2 linked regions of the Drosophila melanogaster genome follow. Changing the gene in region 1 together with any one later gene gives a genetic interaction. Each region holds a gene or a part of one and is shown on either strand. Other genes may lie near its edges.

Evidence for each region. Genes that interact genetically often act in the same process or in processes that back each other up.
Region 2: of Gbeta5 (region 1) and TkR99D, changing one suppresses a phenotype caused by changing the other (phenotypic suppression), as found in Drosophila melanogaster (one study listed by BioGRID).

What each region holds. Positions count from the first base shown.
Region 1 is NC_004354.4:8,148,563-8,155,239, forward strand, and holds Gbeta5 (G protein beta subunit 5), read right to left. Parts: upstream 3,714-6,677; 5' UTR 3,582-3,713; coding exon 2,505-3,581; 3' UTR 2,169-2,504; downstream 1-2,168. Other genes in the region: CG10959 (uncharacterized protein), read left to right, coding at 336-914, 983-1,735; CG18262 (uncharacterized protein), read left to right, coding at 4,482-5,891.
Region 2 is NT_033777.3:29,965,170-29,972,893, reverse strand, and holds the start of TkR99D (Tachykinin-like receptor at 99D), read left to right. Parts: upstream 1-3,446; 5' UTR 3,447-3,911; intron 3,912-7,724. UniProt on the Drosophila melanogaster protein: Receptor for tachykinin-like peptides.

The DNA.
Region 1 (6,677 bases):
TCGTTATTTCAACTGAAGTGCCTTATAAATAAAACAGGCAGTATCACTTTCTAAGAGTCTGGTAACAAATTGGTAACACTTGAGAGGAGCATATTGCTTAGCTATTTAATATACATAGATCAAATATAATTAATTTTGAACTTAAAATTTATTTTGTAGTTTATTCGGTCAAACGGTTAGTTTGGTTTGAAACATAGCTGAATGGCTGTGAAATCAGTGCTGGTTTGAGTCTGCACTAAATGTCTATCGAAGTCGATCGAAATTTTGTTTACATATTTTATTTTAATTTTGGTAAATAATATTGCAACAATTTTAATGTAAATAAGAATCAGAAAATGTTGAGACACTGCCTCGCCAACGTCGACTACGTCCGCCTGCACGCCCAGCAGCAGTTGCGTCCCAAATGCGGCGAGATCTTCTACGAACCGGAGGCGAATAGATTCCAACTGGTCTGCCTGCTCTGCGACATGAAGCACTTTGGATTCGAGGACTTCGCCCGCCATATCCGTAATGTGCACTTCGACAAGCAGGGCCGACCGCTCACCAAGACGGTCACGGGACTGGGCAGACTAGCACGAGAGGAACAGGAGTTCCAAGGGGTCAGCGCAGAACCATTGGCTGTGGACAGCTTCAAGAAAGAGTACCTGCCCAACGAGGATGTTCTGTCGGAGGAGGAGGACGCGGAACAGGAGCTGGGACTGGAACAGGACGAGGGCAATCCACTACGCATCATGGTGCTCGGGGGTAAACAGTCCGTGGACGAGGAGACCATCGATACGATGTGGCAGCCGGATCATGACAGTTCCTCCGCATCCGTCAACGAGGGGTGCGCTCTGGAGGCTCTGTTGGGCGTGGAAAATCCGCAAGACTATCAACCGGATGAGGACGGGGAGGAGCACCAGTCTGTTTTTAAGGTAGAAAAACTGTAGTACGTGCACTTGAAGAAGGAAATCCAATATCTGAATATGTTTTTTCCCTGCAGAAGCAGCGCCAACCAAAGGACTACAACTGCCCACACTGCGACAGGAGGTACACGACGCAGAAATACCTAAACACCCACCTAAAGATGAGCCATCCGTTTCCGCAGGCCTTCAAGTGCGTCGACTGCAAAGCCACCTTCGATGTGGACCGAGCATTGGCCCAGCATCGTCGCAAGGAGCACACGGAGTTCGCCTGCCAGCTATGCGACAAGGTGTTCAAAAGCTCGCGATCCCTTCTTCGCCATGTGCAGGGTCACTCCGGCGCCAGGACATTCAAGTGTGAGCACGAGAACTGCGGCAAGTCGTTTGTCAACCAGCACAACCTCACCTCGCATCGGCGGGTCCACAGCGAGGAGCGGAACTACGTGTGCGAGCTGTGCGGCTATAGATCCCGCTACCGGGAGGCGTTGATCGTCCACCGGCGCACGCATACGGGCGAGAAACCCTTCCAGTGCCAGACCTGTGCCCGCCGCTTTGCCTCCAAGTCGCTGCTCAACGAGCACCAGGCCATGCATTCCACCGAGAAGCCCTACAAGTGCGACAAATGTGATTCGGCCTTCTCCCGCCCGAAGGCGCTCTATCACCACAAGCATCTGCATTTGGGCATCAAGAAGTTCAAGTGCAAGATCTGCGGTAATGCCTATGCCCAGGCGGCAGGTCTATCCGCTCATATGCGAGCGCACAAGCTCCAGGCGTCCGTAAATGCGACGGAGGGTGCCGAGGCGGAACCCATCGAGATGCTTTTCACCTACTGACCGAACTGAGTGGAAACCTCCTGTCGCCTTAAGCTCTATTTCCATATAACTCAAGATATTCAAGATACACCACAAACAATGTTCACTGTTCTAGATTTTATAGATAGCTTATCAATGTTTATGGACACCCGACTCTTTCGTTCCAACTTTTCACATATATATATATATCTGTAAATAGTATTAGACATTTTCCAATCTAAGGCCGCAAATGTTCTTTTTTAATTTAAGTGATGAAGCCTTCCATTTCTGTGTCTCAAAAATTAGTACCTACATATCAGTAGAAGTCGTGTGTAAGCTGTTATATCTGTTAGTTTAGCTAGTTTTAAGCCAAGACCTTGCTTCCGACTAGGACAAACCACGTATGTACAATAAATGTTCTGATACACGTTACTCCAACATGGACTTTCAAATGGGCGCACAAAGAAGCCAGTTTGTCTATAGCTCAACATTTATTTCGAACAGGAACTTATAACTAGTCGCATATTGGTTACACTTGGATGCATATACATGTATATATTTAGATTCAATTTGGTACAGCAGCTGGTAGTAAGCATAACACTGCGGTAACCAAGACATCCATGCTGGCAATCCCGACATGAGACATATGTACACACTTGGGGGATCACCGAATCCGTAACTTAACTATCCTAGAGATGCGATGCACAACACAAAAAAAAAAAAAAAAAACAAATCAGAAGAGAGGGAAAACAAAGCGAGACGGCATCTGTCCTGGACAAATGCATCCCCCAACAATAAGGTGCCACATGGCTTAGGCCCACACCCGTATGGTGTAGTCCCAACTGCCGGTGGATAGAGCGGTGCCATCGGGCGAGACCTGGACGCAGGACACCTTGTTCTCGTGCCCGTACAGCAGGCAGACCCTTTCCGATTTCAGCGTGTCCCACAAGTTGACGGTGTAATCGTTGTAGCCAGCAAACAGTAATCTTCCACTGACCGAAAAGTCCACCGAATTGACGCCAAAGATGATGCTCTCCTTGGCGAACACGGCCACCTCGCGATCCGCTCGCATATCGTACAGCCGGCAGCTGCTGTCATCCGATCCAGTGGCTATGGCATCTCCGCAAGGATGGAACTTAACGCTATTCACATCCGATTGATGACCCTCGAAGGACTGAACGACATGACCAGAGCGCATGTCCCAGATGAAGGCCATGCGATCGCAACTGCCCGAGACAAAGGTGTTGCCCGTTTCGTTGGGAGCCAAATCGATGGCCATTACATCGCCGGAATGTCCGTGGAAGCTTTGCAGTAGCTGGCCCGATTCCACGTCCCACAAAGCGCATGTGGAATCGCCACTGCCCGTGAGGATTTGCTGATCGGAATTCGGATAGATGCAGCACGACATGTAGCTGGTGTGGGTGCCCACTGTGCGCTTCTTGGCGGCCATCTCCTCATCGGAGGTTATCGGATACACGGTGACCTTATTGTCTAGTCCGCCGCAGGCCACAAAATTGCCCGACGGCGCGTAGGCACAGGCCATAATCCAGGTGGTGGGCATGGTGACGGCGTGCTCCTTGTTCGTGGTGAACGCATCCCAGATGATCAGACGTCCGTCCTGCGACGAGGAGATGATGTGACGCTTGTCGGGACTCCAGTCGGTGCACAGGACCTTCGCCTGGTGGCCCTTGAGCACCTTACGCGGCTTGATGTTCACATAGGCGATCTGCTCCAGCCGCTCTGCGATGTTCGACAGATTGACGTCGTTCAGCTTCTGGCGCTCCTCCTCCAGTTTGGTCTTCAAATTCTCCGCCTCTCGCACCAAACTGGCCATCTTTTCAGTGGCATTCGCGTTCGCATTGCTCGCTGGCACCGCCGCCTCCGACATGGTTGCTCTGAGATGGCGCTTCTATGGATATCTCTCGGGGATTGTGTGTCCTATCCCGTTCGAACTTCTCCAATTGGACAGCGAAAAATCAATCCGAAAAAAAGTGTATACTCGAATACGAAAATCCGAATACACAGCGATAGGCGCGGTCGGTTATCGATAAGTTTTACCGTTGGTAAATGGCAGAATGTACCGTTACATATCCTTTATTTTCGGAGAACTTGATAAAAGATTGTGACGATGTTATTATTATTAATTTTCATCAATATGACAAGGTATTGATGAAAATTGGCGTCAAAATTTGTTAAATTTTTGTTCTGTTTTTGTTAAAAGCCGGTTTTCCGAATTTCCCTCATAAAATAATCAGTTTTTTGCCCAGAACTTTGAAAATAATTGACCAAATATGGTATGTCATATCTCGTTGAACTCGTAATGAAATTTCCAATCGAATTGCATTCAAATTTGCGAATTCAAAATTTTTCCATTTTTTTGCAAATTTTAATTTAATGTTACCCCTTAAAAAACATGAAAAATATGACACAAAAATAAATTTTTCTATGCCCGCCCAAAAGTGATAGGGTTCGTTAGTAGTGATAATTGGCTGTTCAAAACAGTTATTCTTTAAGCTGCATGATGATTTTCCGCCAAGTTATGACTAGAAACTACTTGTGATAACGAACTTATCGGAGTAAATACCATTTCAAATGTGGCGCCACAACCAAGGTAAGCTCAACACTGCGGTTCGTTAGCCAACACTACCATCAGCTGGGGAAAACCACCCTTCCCCACCCCCTTGAAACAAACACTTACAAAAAAGCGACGCCAACGGCTGGAATCCTCTGCTAATCCGGAGCCAGTTGACCGCCACTTCCACACAGGCAGACCAGGGAGCAAGCCGCGATGATCAAGGTGCAGCCACCGCCGGATGTGGCCGGTGGCTACCACAATCTGCGTTGCGGCGAGGTCTTATTCAGTGCACCCGCCTCCTACGAAGTGAGCTGCTTGCTGTGCGACCAGCGTTTGCCGTTGGACGGCTACCCGGAACACTTCCGGCTGAAACACTTCACGAACAGCTCCAGCTCGCTGTGTTCCAACGAACTGGAAAGCGATCCCATTGCCCAGGACGTCGTCGAAGTACAGGGAAATGAGGAGCTACATGAGGAACTGGCAAAGGAAGCTAGCCCGGACTTAGAGGAGGAGGAGGAGGAGAAGGAGGAAGGTTCCAAACGCCAGCATTACCAGCGTGCAGCGGCCATGAAGAACACCCTGGTGGAGACTCGCGAGGATTTGCTGGACATCGAACTCGACTGGACGGGCGGCGAGCAGTCGGAGCATAATGAAACTCACGAGGAGGAGGAGGGGGAATCGGATGATGATGACACGAAGGACAGCAACGACACGAAGGACATGCTCTTCCAATGCGATCAGTGCGACCGGGCGTACAACACCAAACGCAGCCTGCAGAGCCATCGCCGCCTAAAGCACAGCGAAGCCAACGGCGGAAGTCTGGACAAATCCGCCAGTGAACGCAATAGCAAGAAGCGGAAAGGTCCGCCGAAGGTGTACAAATGCAACGAGGAAGCCTGCAACCAGACATTTCGCACCGAACGCGATCTGCGCGGCCATCGCTGGAAGCACACGGGAATCTTCTGCGACATTTGCGGCAAACCCTTCACCCAGTCGGGCAACATGATGCGCCACCGCCAGCGACACAGTGGCATCAAGCCGCACAAGTGTCCGGAATGCGACGCGACCTTTTACACGCAAAAGGAGCTCTCCTCGCACAGTATCTGCCATACTGGTCGCATGCCCTGCATCTGCGAGGTGTGCGGACGACCTTGCCGAGATCGAGGCGTTCTCACGGCGCATATGCGTCGCCATACGGGCGAAAGGCCGGCCAAATGCGAGGTGTGCGGCAAGGCATTCTATAGCTTTCATGACCTCAATGTCCATGCTGTATCGCATACCAATTTGCGGCCCTTCGTCTGCGACGTTTGCGGCTCCACGTTTCAACGGAAGAAGGCGCTGCGGGTGCACAAGCTGCTCCACTCTGAGCAGCGCAAGTACGCGTGCAAATTGTGCGGCAAGACGTTCGCCCAGTCCGGCGGTCTAAATGCCCACATGCGCAGCCATGATCCGGCGAGAGTTAAGGGAGCTGTGAAGCCGCTGCCGCAATCGGTCACCATCGAGGTGATCGAGGGCAAGAGTCCGCCCACCACCACCATCACCATGGCCATCGACCTCAATGTGGAGGAGCAGCTGGTAAAGCAAACCGAGACTGCACCCACCACTTGGCGCCTGGCCAACTGAGTAGCTAGCTAGGATTAATATAAGGTTAGATGTAGTTCATCTATAAGTTCCAAATTGCGCCATAATAAATGAGAGAAATCAGAAGATTGGAAATGAATTAATAATCGTAAGAAACCAGAAGGCAGATGCATAAAACGATTGATTTGCGGTACAAAAGTGTCCTTTATTGGGGTTTCCTAAACGGAGAGGGTTCCAAGCTGTCAGCGATCCAAGTCCAGATGAGTCTGGGCTCTAATCCTTGCCAGCGTGTGCATTCTACCCGGGATTCTTAGCTCTAAACATGTAGTTCGTATCGCTATGGACTAAGTTAAGTATTGGGATAAAATAATACATACAGCCTTTGTTGTTTTTTTTTTTTTTTTTCCAAACGAAATTGATGATCATAAACGGAGGCTTTTGCGTTAAAGGTTAAAAAAATATATTCCCGCCCCTTCGTTGTTTTCAAAAAAGGTACATATTTTATATTCTATGCGCTGGTCGGTTCACTCATTACTAGTTTTTCGAAGCGATAAACTGAAGAATTAAAACCTAGCATAATTCTAGATGCAATATTAAGTAAACTAGTTTAAAATAGGGCTGACATTTCTGCCAAATGGACGTACTCAGTTACAAATATAGTTAAAATCAATCAAATTGACGAGAATGTTTTGAAAACTAAAGATTAATTAAGCACTGAAAATGCATTGATAAGGTATCACGGGTAAACCCAAGACCAACTAAGTTTTCCAATTATAGACCTATGTATTTACGTGATCTGCATTGACTTTTGTTCACTAGAACCAATAG
Region 2 (7,724 bases), on another chromosome or scaffold:
AGCTTTTGACCTAAATAATCGATCCAAATCACTTTTTGGTTCATTTCGAAAAATTAATTTTTTGACCAATTTTCGAAAATTTGATAAGGGGTACCATCACTAAAATTTGTAAAAATTGGCCAAAAATGGATTTTTCAAAATCAACGAAACTTGAATGCCAATCGATTAGGCATTCAATTACGAGCTCAACGAGGTATTACATTCCATATTCCGAGCATTTTTTCAAAAAATTTCATACTGGCTTCCCCTGAGAGTTGGTCAAAATGTTGATTTTGGCCTAAGGACCAAGGATTTGCATCTTGGATTTGGGGTGACTTTATTTTCGAGTGTTACTGCTAACCAACTTCTGGCTTTCATCTTGGAGCATTCGTGCGCGCGGGGAGATGATGAGAAATGGACTACCTAGATTGCGATACCTTCATATTTCATCGCATCCCGCGCACACATGGCAGTCGAAAAAGTTTGGCCCAATCTGCTCCAGCTCCTGGTCGTGTCGTAGTTGATTTGCTGCTCCTTCGTGGCGCTTTTTCCTTTACGAGCAGCTGTCTAATGTAGCCGAAGGAAAACAAAAAGAGAGCCTTGCCTTGGCTGCGCTTTATGGAGATTTAACTTGGCCTAATGAAGCAGTGGCAGAAAAAAGCGGGTTCCGCCGCCTCGCATATTTTAATACAGTTTTGGCTTTATGAAACTTATGTTTGCATTTTGTTGGCCATAAATTCTGAATGGGAGGCGGTGCCTCCGACTCTGCCAAGTGACACCTGAGCCCAATGAAATTTTATGGCCCGACCTTGGATGCTGGAGGTGGTCTCACTCCTCCTCACCGCTCCACTTCGCTTTTCCGGCTCCGAAAGTATGCAAAACATTTGGCGAATTCTTTTGCATTTTCCGAGGACTTGTGGCTTTTTCGCCGCGGACCAAAGGGTAATTGGAAAAACGTGGCTGCCTAAGTGGAAATTAAAACAACCGAATGTTTCACATAGCTGGCGCCAAATCCAATTTGAAAGGCTTCTGTCTGTGCTGGCCATTTCGGTGGTCAGCACGGCCATCGCTAATTGCCGCGAAACACTCATGCAGAAACTGGCTAAAACCGCAGATGCGGCGCAGTGAGCGAGTTTATTAGAATGCACAATTTATGGAGCATCATTTAAAATTTCATAAACTCGCTAAAAATGTTTATACAGATTAAAAATGGCTGGGCATATTGCATGCTTTACAAATGAGTAATGATATTTGGAAAACAGATTGAATGATTCTTTTGATTCGTATCAACTAAATAGATGCTCATTCCAGCTGACCCTGTGGTGTCTGTTGGTTTTTCCAATTTATCCATCACATTTACAGCGACAGCCGCCCAGGACCGCCGAATGACACGCACTTAAAAACAGCGGGATACGCGACCAGATAGCCTGGGGAAAAAGGAAAATTAAATTTCCAGCGGCCGTGCGGTGGTCATCAATCAAACCACTCGTCACATGCTGTCGGGGCTGGCTGGTATTTAGCCAAATATACATTTTGCCAGCATAATGTTGACAAACAAATTATCATTCTGGCGGTCAACGAGGGGGCGGGGGCGGCAGGGAAGGATGATGATGATGAGGTGCAGGACGAGACGGGCTTAGCGTTGATTAAATGGGGTCATCAGCAGGGCATGGCACTGGTAACGAGCGTTATCCTTGCAGATAGTTAATGATGCCCAGCTGCTCGGGATATTGGCCATTGCAGGCGTACACTCGGACTCGCAGCTCGGTGCGAGCCACCAAGTTCAACTTGGTCCATCATAATCATTATGGATGTGTTCAATGGACTGCACGTCAGCGAGAGATAAAGAAATTTAATGACCTCCTGCTTTCACTGTGTATCCTCCTTCCACAAAATGTAAGACGAGAAAATAATCTAAATGAGACATCGCCTTCAAAGCGTTGGAAAATAGTTACCTAAGCTAGTTAAGTTGACTTGTTTCATCTTGGATCAGTCGAATATGTGTGCCAAACCATGGTGTAGGTCATCTCATTTTACATGCAACCCATTCGTTGCTCAGTTGTTACAACTAAATGGAGTGATTGATGGGACATTGATGCATGTGCAGCGGATGAAGTTGCGGGATTCCATCTCCGCCAGCAAATTAAGACGTCCGAATCTGGCGAAGAGGGGGAGGCATTTCGGATTCATTGCTTACTTTAGGCATTTTTGGCCAGATCAGCCACCAACACCTGCGGCTGTCTGGTGTGAAAGAGCCAAGTCATTTGGCCAAAACTAACAAACATACGCTCTGCACTGAAAACAATTTCTTTGTATGTATGGTAATTGTAAAATTGTAATTGTTTTATCAAAATGTAAATAGAGACATATTCTGTATGGAAAATAGGAGAATTTGCGGTTTTATACCCATAATTTGGCTAAAATCATAATTACAGTCAGTTTTATACATGTTTTTTGGAGCCTGTGACCTAAGCAATCGATCCAAATCACTTTTTAATTGATTTCGAAAAATTAATTTTTGGACCAATTTTCGCAAATTTGATAAGGGGTACCATCATTAAAATTTGCTAAAATTGGCCAAAAATTTATTTTTCAAAATCAACAAAACTTGAATGCCAATCGATTAGGCATGCAATTACGAGCTCAACGAGGTATTACATTCTATATTTTGATAAATTAATCCAAAATTTTTCGTAGCCTTTCCACTTGGGAAAGTGGAATTTTAATGGGAAATGGGAATTTTAGCCTTAGGACTTGGCTACCTTAGCAAAAATAGCAAATCACTTTGCACTGATAATCAAGATGTGTAATCTATTTCAATGATATACCCCTATTGAATTTGTAAACATGCATTCTAAACCTAAAACAAATTATTCGAGTGTATTGATAAACATCTTCCTTTGAATGTGGTATTAAACGCTTTGAAAGTGCTGTTTTGGAAGCGATATATTCATTGTGCATATGTGTGTATATTTTGTAAGACATCTTGGTCATTTGATTTTCCGCTTGTGCGTGGCGTGCACGTGGCAGAATCGCCGGAGTCCGGATTGTTTACGAATAGCCGTATGACAACAGAGAGCGAACGAAGGCAGAGCGAGAGGAAAAGATAGGGCGCAGGCGTAGAAAGAAAACACTCGGCAACACTGGTGAATTTGGGCGGGTTTCCGTTCGATTCCGTCGCAGATTTCAACGCTTTTCAAATGGAAACGTTGCTCATTGCTCCGATAAAATAAAAGGCCCTCAACGCAAAGGGGTTACGTGAGCCCTAGTCCCCAGTGCAACATCCCAACATATGCAACAAGCGGCCGGAGTCCCCGAGGTCCACGGGAACCCCCCCCGCCGCAGAAAAAAAAACCGCCCACTTTTTTGTGGCCCTTATTATAACACCGACATATCAGCGCGCACAGCCTCAGAAAATTCCGGCTGGCATTCAGTTTTCCGCTTTCCGTTCAGTTCAACGGCAGACTCGCGCGCGTACGGTTCGAACTGAAAAGGCGACGGGTCCGGATTTTTTGGACTTGTCGGTTCTCCGGGTTCTCGGTTCCTGAAATTCGCTGATGATAGGTGATAGCTGAAGCTGGCGGAGAAGTGTTGGAAAAATGCTGGAAAATCAGCTTAGAGCTGGCTGAAATGCCGCCGGCAGTCGATCCGTAAACGTAATTGAATTCGGCCCAGTGGATTGAAAATCAAATTCAATTTCGTAGCGAGCAAACACGCAAAAACGATAAACTAGTCGTTAAAGTGAATATACAAATTGGTGTTTTGATTAAAACTAATAAACATAAACACCGAAACCACAGAGCAGCAGAAGGCGAGCAGCGGAATTTATTTTTAAATACGATTTCTTTGTTATTCGCTGCCTGCAATTGGCTGACATTGCTCATACGCCGCGTTGGCCGAGCGAAGAAGTGGGGATTTCAGCATAGTTCCTGGTAAGCGGTCTCCCACTGCCCAAAGTATTTTGTTTTTTTTTTTTCATTCTCTTTCCACTCATTATTGTTTTTCCATATTACAAAAACATTGTTTTCGGGAGGTGGTGGCTTGAATTGCAAAGTTTATTGCACAAACCAAACCGAAATTGGTTTACAAGTTTATGGAAATTCGAGTCGCCAAAGTAATTAGAAAACTGCTATTTGTGGACAACTTTCGGCTGCCCTGGTAACTTTAGCTCGAAATGTAATTACATCGAGAGCCTAATCAAGTGACTAACCCAATTCGAAAGATCAAACTGTAGGCCATTCCCATTCATCCCGATTTTCCACTCAATTTGAGCAACGAGTTCCACGACTCCAGTGAGCTGAGAAATAGTTAACCGATGGCCAAAAACCATCACACCCAATTGACTTTGCCCGATGAAAAGGTTCTCCGATGATCTCAGATTTCGGAAATCTGGTCGGAAGAGCAAATCTCCTGGAATGACAATTAATTCGATTGCGATTTGCGTTTTTTAGGCCCACGGCGGAATGGAAATAATCTTTTTAAATAACGCACCAATTCCGTACATCCTGTGCCATAAAATAAAGTAAAATAAAATAAAACCGTGCGCATTGGCTTATCCCTTGGGTATTTTCACATGTGCCCAGCTCTGATGTTTATAATGCAAATAAGCAAAGTGTTTCAAATGTATTTATTTTGGGGTCGAAGGCGTTTCAGCGCTGGTTGTTTTTTTTTTTAAGCCATTTAATTTTAAGGGGAACGTAAATAGAAGCCTTAAATGCATGCAAACTTCCTGGCTGGATTTTATAGAGTTCATACACAGTTGATATTTAAGAAAAATGTAAACCAAAGGCAAACGAAAGTGTATCTCTTCGTTAGATGTTAAAACTTGATTAAGTGTTTGAGCAGTTAATTAATTGAATTTAATCAAGTACTTGTGGCCAAATGAACTCCACCCTGCAATCAATCGGAAATTTAAGTATAAATCATCAATCAAATCAAGGCATTCATTACCTCGAAGGTATTTCGCTTGTGAACTCCCGACATAATTGCCACTTTAATTGAAGAAAATTAATTCACTCGAAGTGTCCATTTCCAGCTTTCCTTCGAATTCGAAGTGAAGCGCTTTCAAGTGAATCCGCTGGCCAAACAGCACACTTAATTGCTCCTCCGAGATTCCAGACATCATCTAACTCAATCAGTGGCTGGCACAACTTTCTCCGCTTCTAAATATTTAATGTCAACTATGATTAGTGAGGAGGCAAAGTCCTGTGGTTTTAGGCATGTCGATGTGGGATGTGGGCTGTCGGATGTGGTCGGGGGTCTTTGGATCCGGATAAATGGCTGTTTGGCGGCCAAATGAACGCATCCGCACAAAAGCTTTGCCGACGGTCAGCTGAGCAAACCGAAATCCTTTCAGCGCGAATTGCTTGCGGAGGAGCAGGAGGGGATCCGAGGCCATTAGTTGGCCCCAAAAGGCGGCCTTTAAAGATTCAGGCAGGCGTGAACGGATGGGTATCTTTAAGCGAATACGAATGCGAATCAGTAATAAGTGAGTGGGGTGCCGTATGTTCCGTATGTCCAGTGCTGCTCCACAGTGCTGTCATGCATCAAAACATTTAATTAAATTGAAACCGATGCGGCATCCGCCCCACTGCTGACGTCTTTGCCCGGCCACACTGGACATTGGCCAGTGGACACTGGACTTTGGACATCGGAGCGAAGGAGGATGTGCTGCTGGAGGTGGAGGGCAGCATAGCAGGTCCTTTGGCGCCGGAGACGTGTGTAACTTCGGCTTTCTTCCCCAGCTTTCAGCATTCAGCATTCAGCTTTCAGCTGGACACCAGTTCACCATCTCCGCCCCGAATGAATTTAAATGAAGGCAGTGCCGGTCCTAAACAAGTCCGTGAATCATGTGCATATTTTAGCGGTGCTCAGTTGAGTTCGTCCCTCTTTTATGCAGCCCCATCGAGCTATGCAGTGTCCTTGTCGGTGGACAGGACGTGTATTCCACAGGGATAGCCTTTAAATAAATGGGTTAATTCGATGGCATTGTTCGCACACCCAGCACATGTGTCCACAAGACAATTGTCCAATTTATTGGCATTGAACAACTTTGTGTGTCTAATATAAAATGTTGCACATAACAATATGCAAATAACACTTGTGGCAGCATGTTATTTATGACTTTGTGAAGCTTAACTTTAATTTGGCATTTGGCCTTTGTCAAATATTTCATTTGATCGTAGATCCGAATAAAAATTCAATTTTTTCCCAAATGAAGTCGAGCGAATTGGTTAATATTTCCGGAGACGAAAAAAATCTATCAATTTTGAATAAGTGAAAGTTAAAAGCTCCAGCTGAGAAGTCATTCAATGGGCAAAAGCAATACAATTCAAAACTGAAATGTACTCAGTTGCCCCTCGGCCTCGCCACTGCTCCCCATCTTTCCACGCCGAGCAGATCTGCCAAAGAATATACACCGACTGGCAGATGATTGAAATGGGAGTGAGAGCCACAGCGCTGGGAATCGAATGGGGGGAATGGGGAATCGGAGGTAGCCTTTCTTCACTTCTGTCTCCGCTTTGTTCCTCAATTTACACATAATTGCAATAAATTGACTAAGTGGGTGCTGGGGCACTGAATTTATTGTAGTCCGAGTCCAGAGCTCCAAAGATCCATAGCTCCAGAGTCTTGGACATTTGGGCGGAACTGCAGCACCCGTCTATTTTCTCTTCTTACGTATTTATTTTTGCTCGGATTGCTAAGCAGGGCACACTGATAGAATCCGATAGCTGATAAGATAAGACATTGAAATGCCCACAGACCCCACTCATCGACTCACCAACTCACCAGTTCGCCAGCTCACCAGCTCACCAGCTTACCGACTCACCTGTTTGGCCTGGTTTATGTCCACTGGTGGTGGTAATTGGTAATGGTGGCACAAAGGCGATTGCCCGTACAACGGGGCGTATGCGTATTGTGGGTCGCACGAGGGCCGCAAGTATTTCTTGCAATCACTGCCATGGCTTTTGTGGCTTCTTTATGGGCCAGGAGAATGGCTTAAATGGCACATAATACTTAGGACTTTAGGATCTTCGCTTTCCCGCAATGCTAAGCAGCTTTAATTTCAGCAAAAGTATTCGAGCTGATTCATTGGTAAATACTTCCAATGCTCGTTATCTGTTATTGACCATACGACTTTAGAGGCAAACAAACACGAAATGCTCGACAATTAAATTCGCGGAGGCAACTTGTCCTGCCCCAACACATTCGATTGCGTTGCCAAGTTCACGAGGCACGCATGTGGATATATGTATATCTTCTGTTTATATAGTATTTTGGCGCTTTTATCACCGGGCTTTATTTATATATTAAGGGGATTGTTTAATTTCTGCGCTTGTTATTGTTTTCTGTCTGCTCTTCGGTAGGTGCGAAAGATAAATCCAGCTCGCAAATGAATTCTTGCTCCCGGCATCGCGAGCAGCTCATTAAACAATCATTTTGATGAATTTTACCCGCCTGCCGAGATACGGGAGCTACGAAGAAGGAGGAGGAGCAGCCCGCTTCCAGCGCCTCCAGCGCATGTGGCCAATTTGCAGCCCCATATATTTAATGCTCGTTTTGTGCCTAATTGTTTCGCCAGTGTGTGTGCTTGTGGGGAAATTAAAAACGCTCGTTTAAGCCAGCAAAAGGCGTTGGTAATTACAATACAAGTTCACTTTCGGAACCCCCAGAAATGTGCTTATTACGTTTCGCCTCGGCCTGGGCCCTTTACTTCACTCGCTCTGCTCGTATTTTTGTTTTTT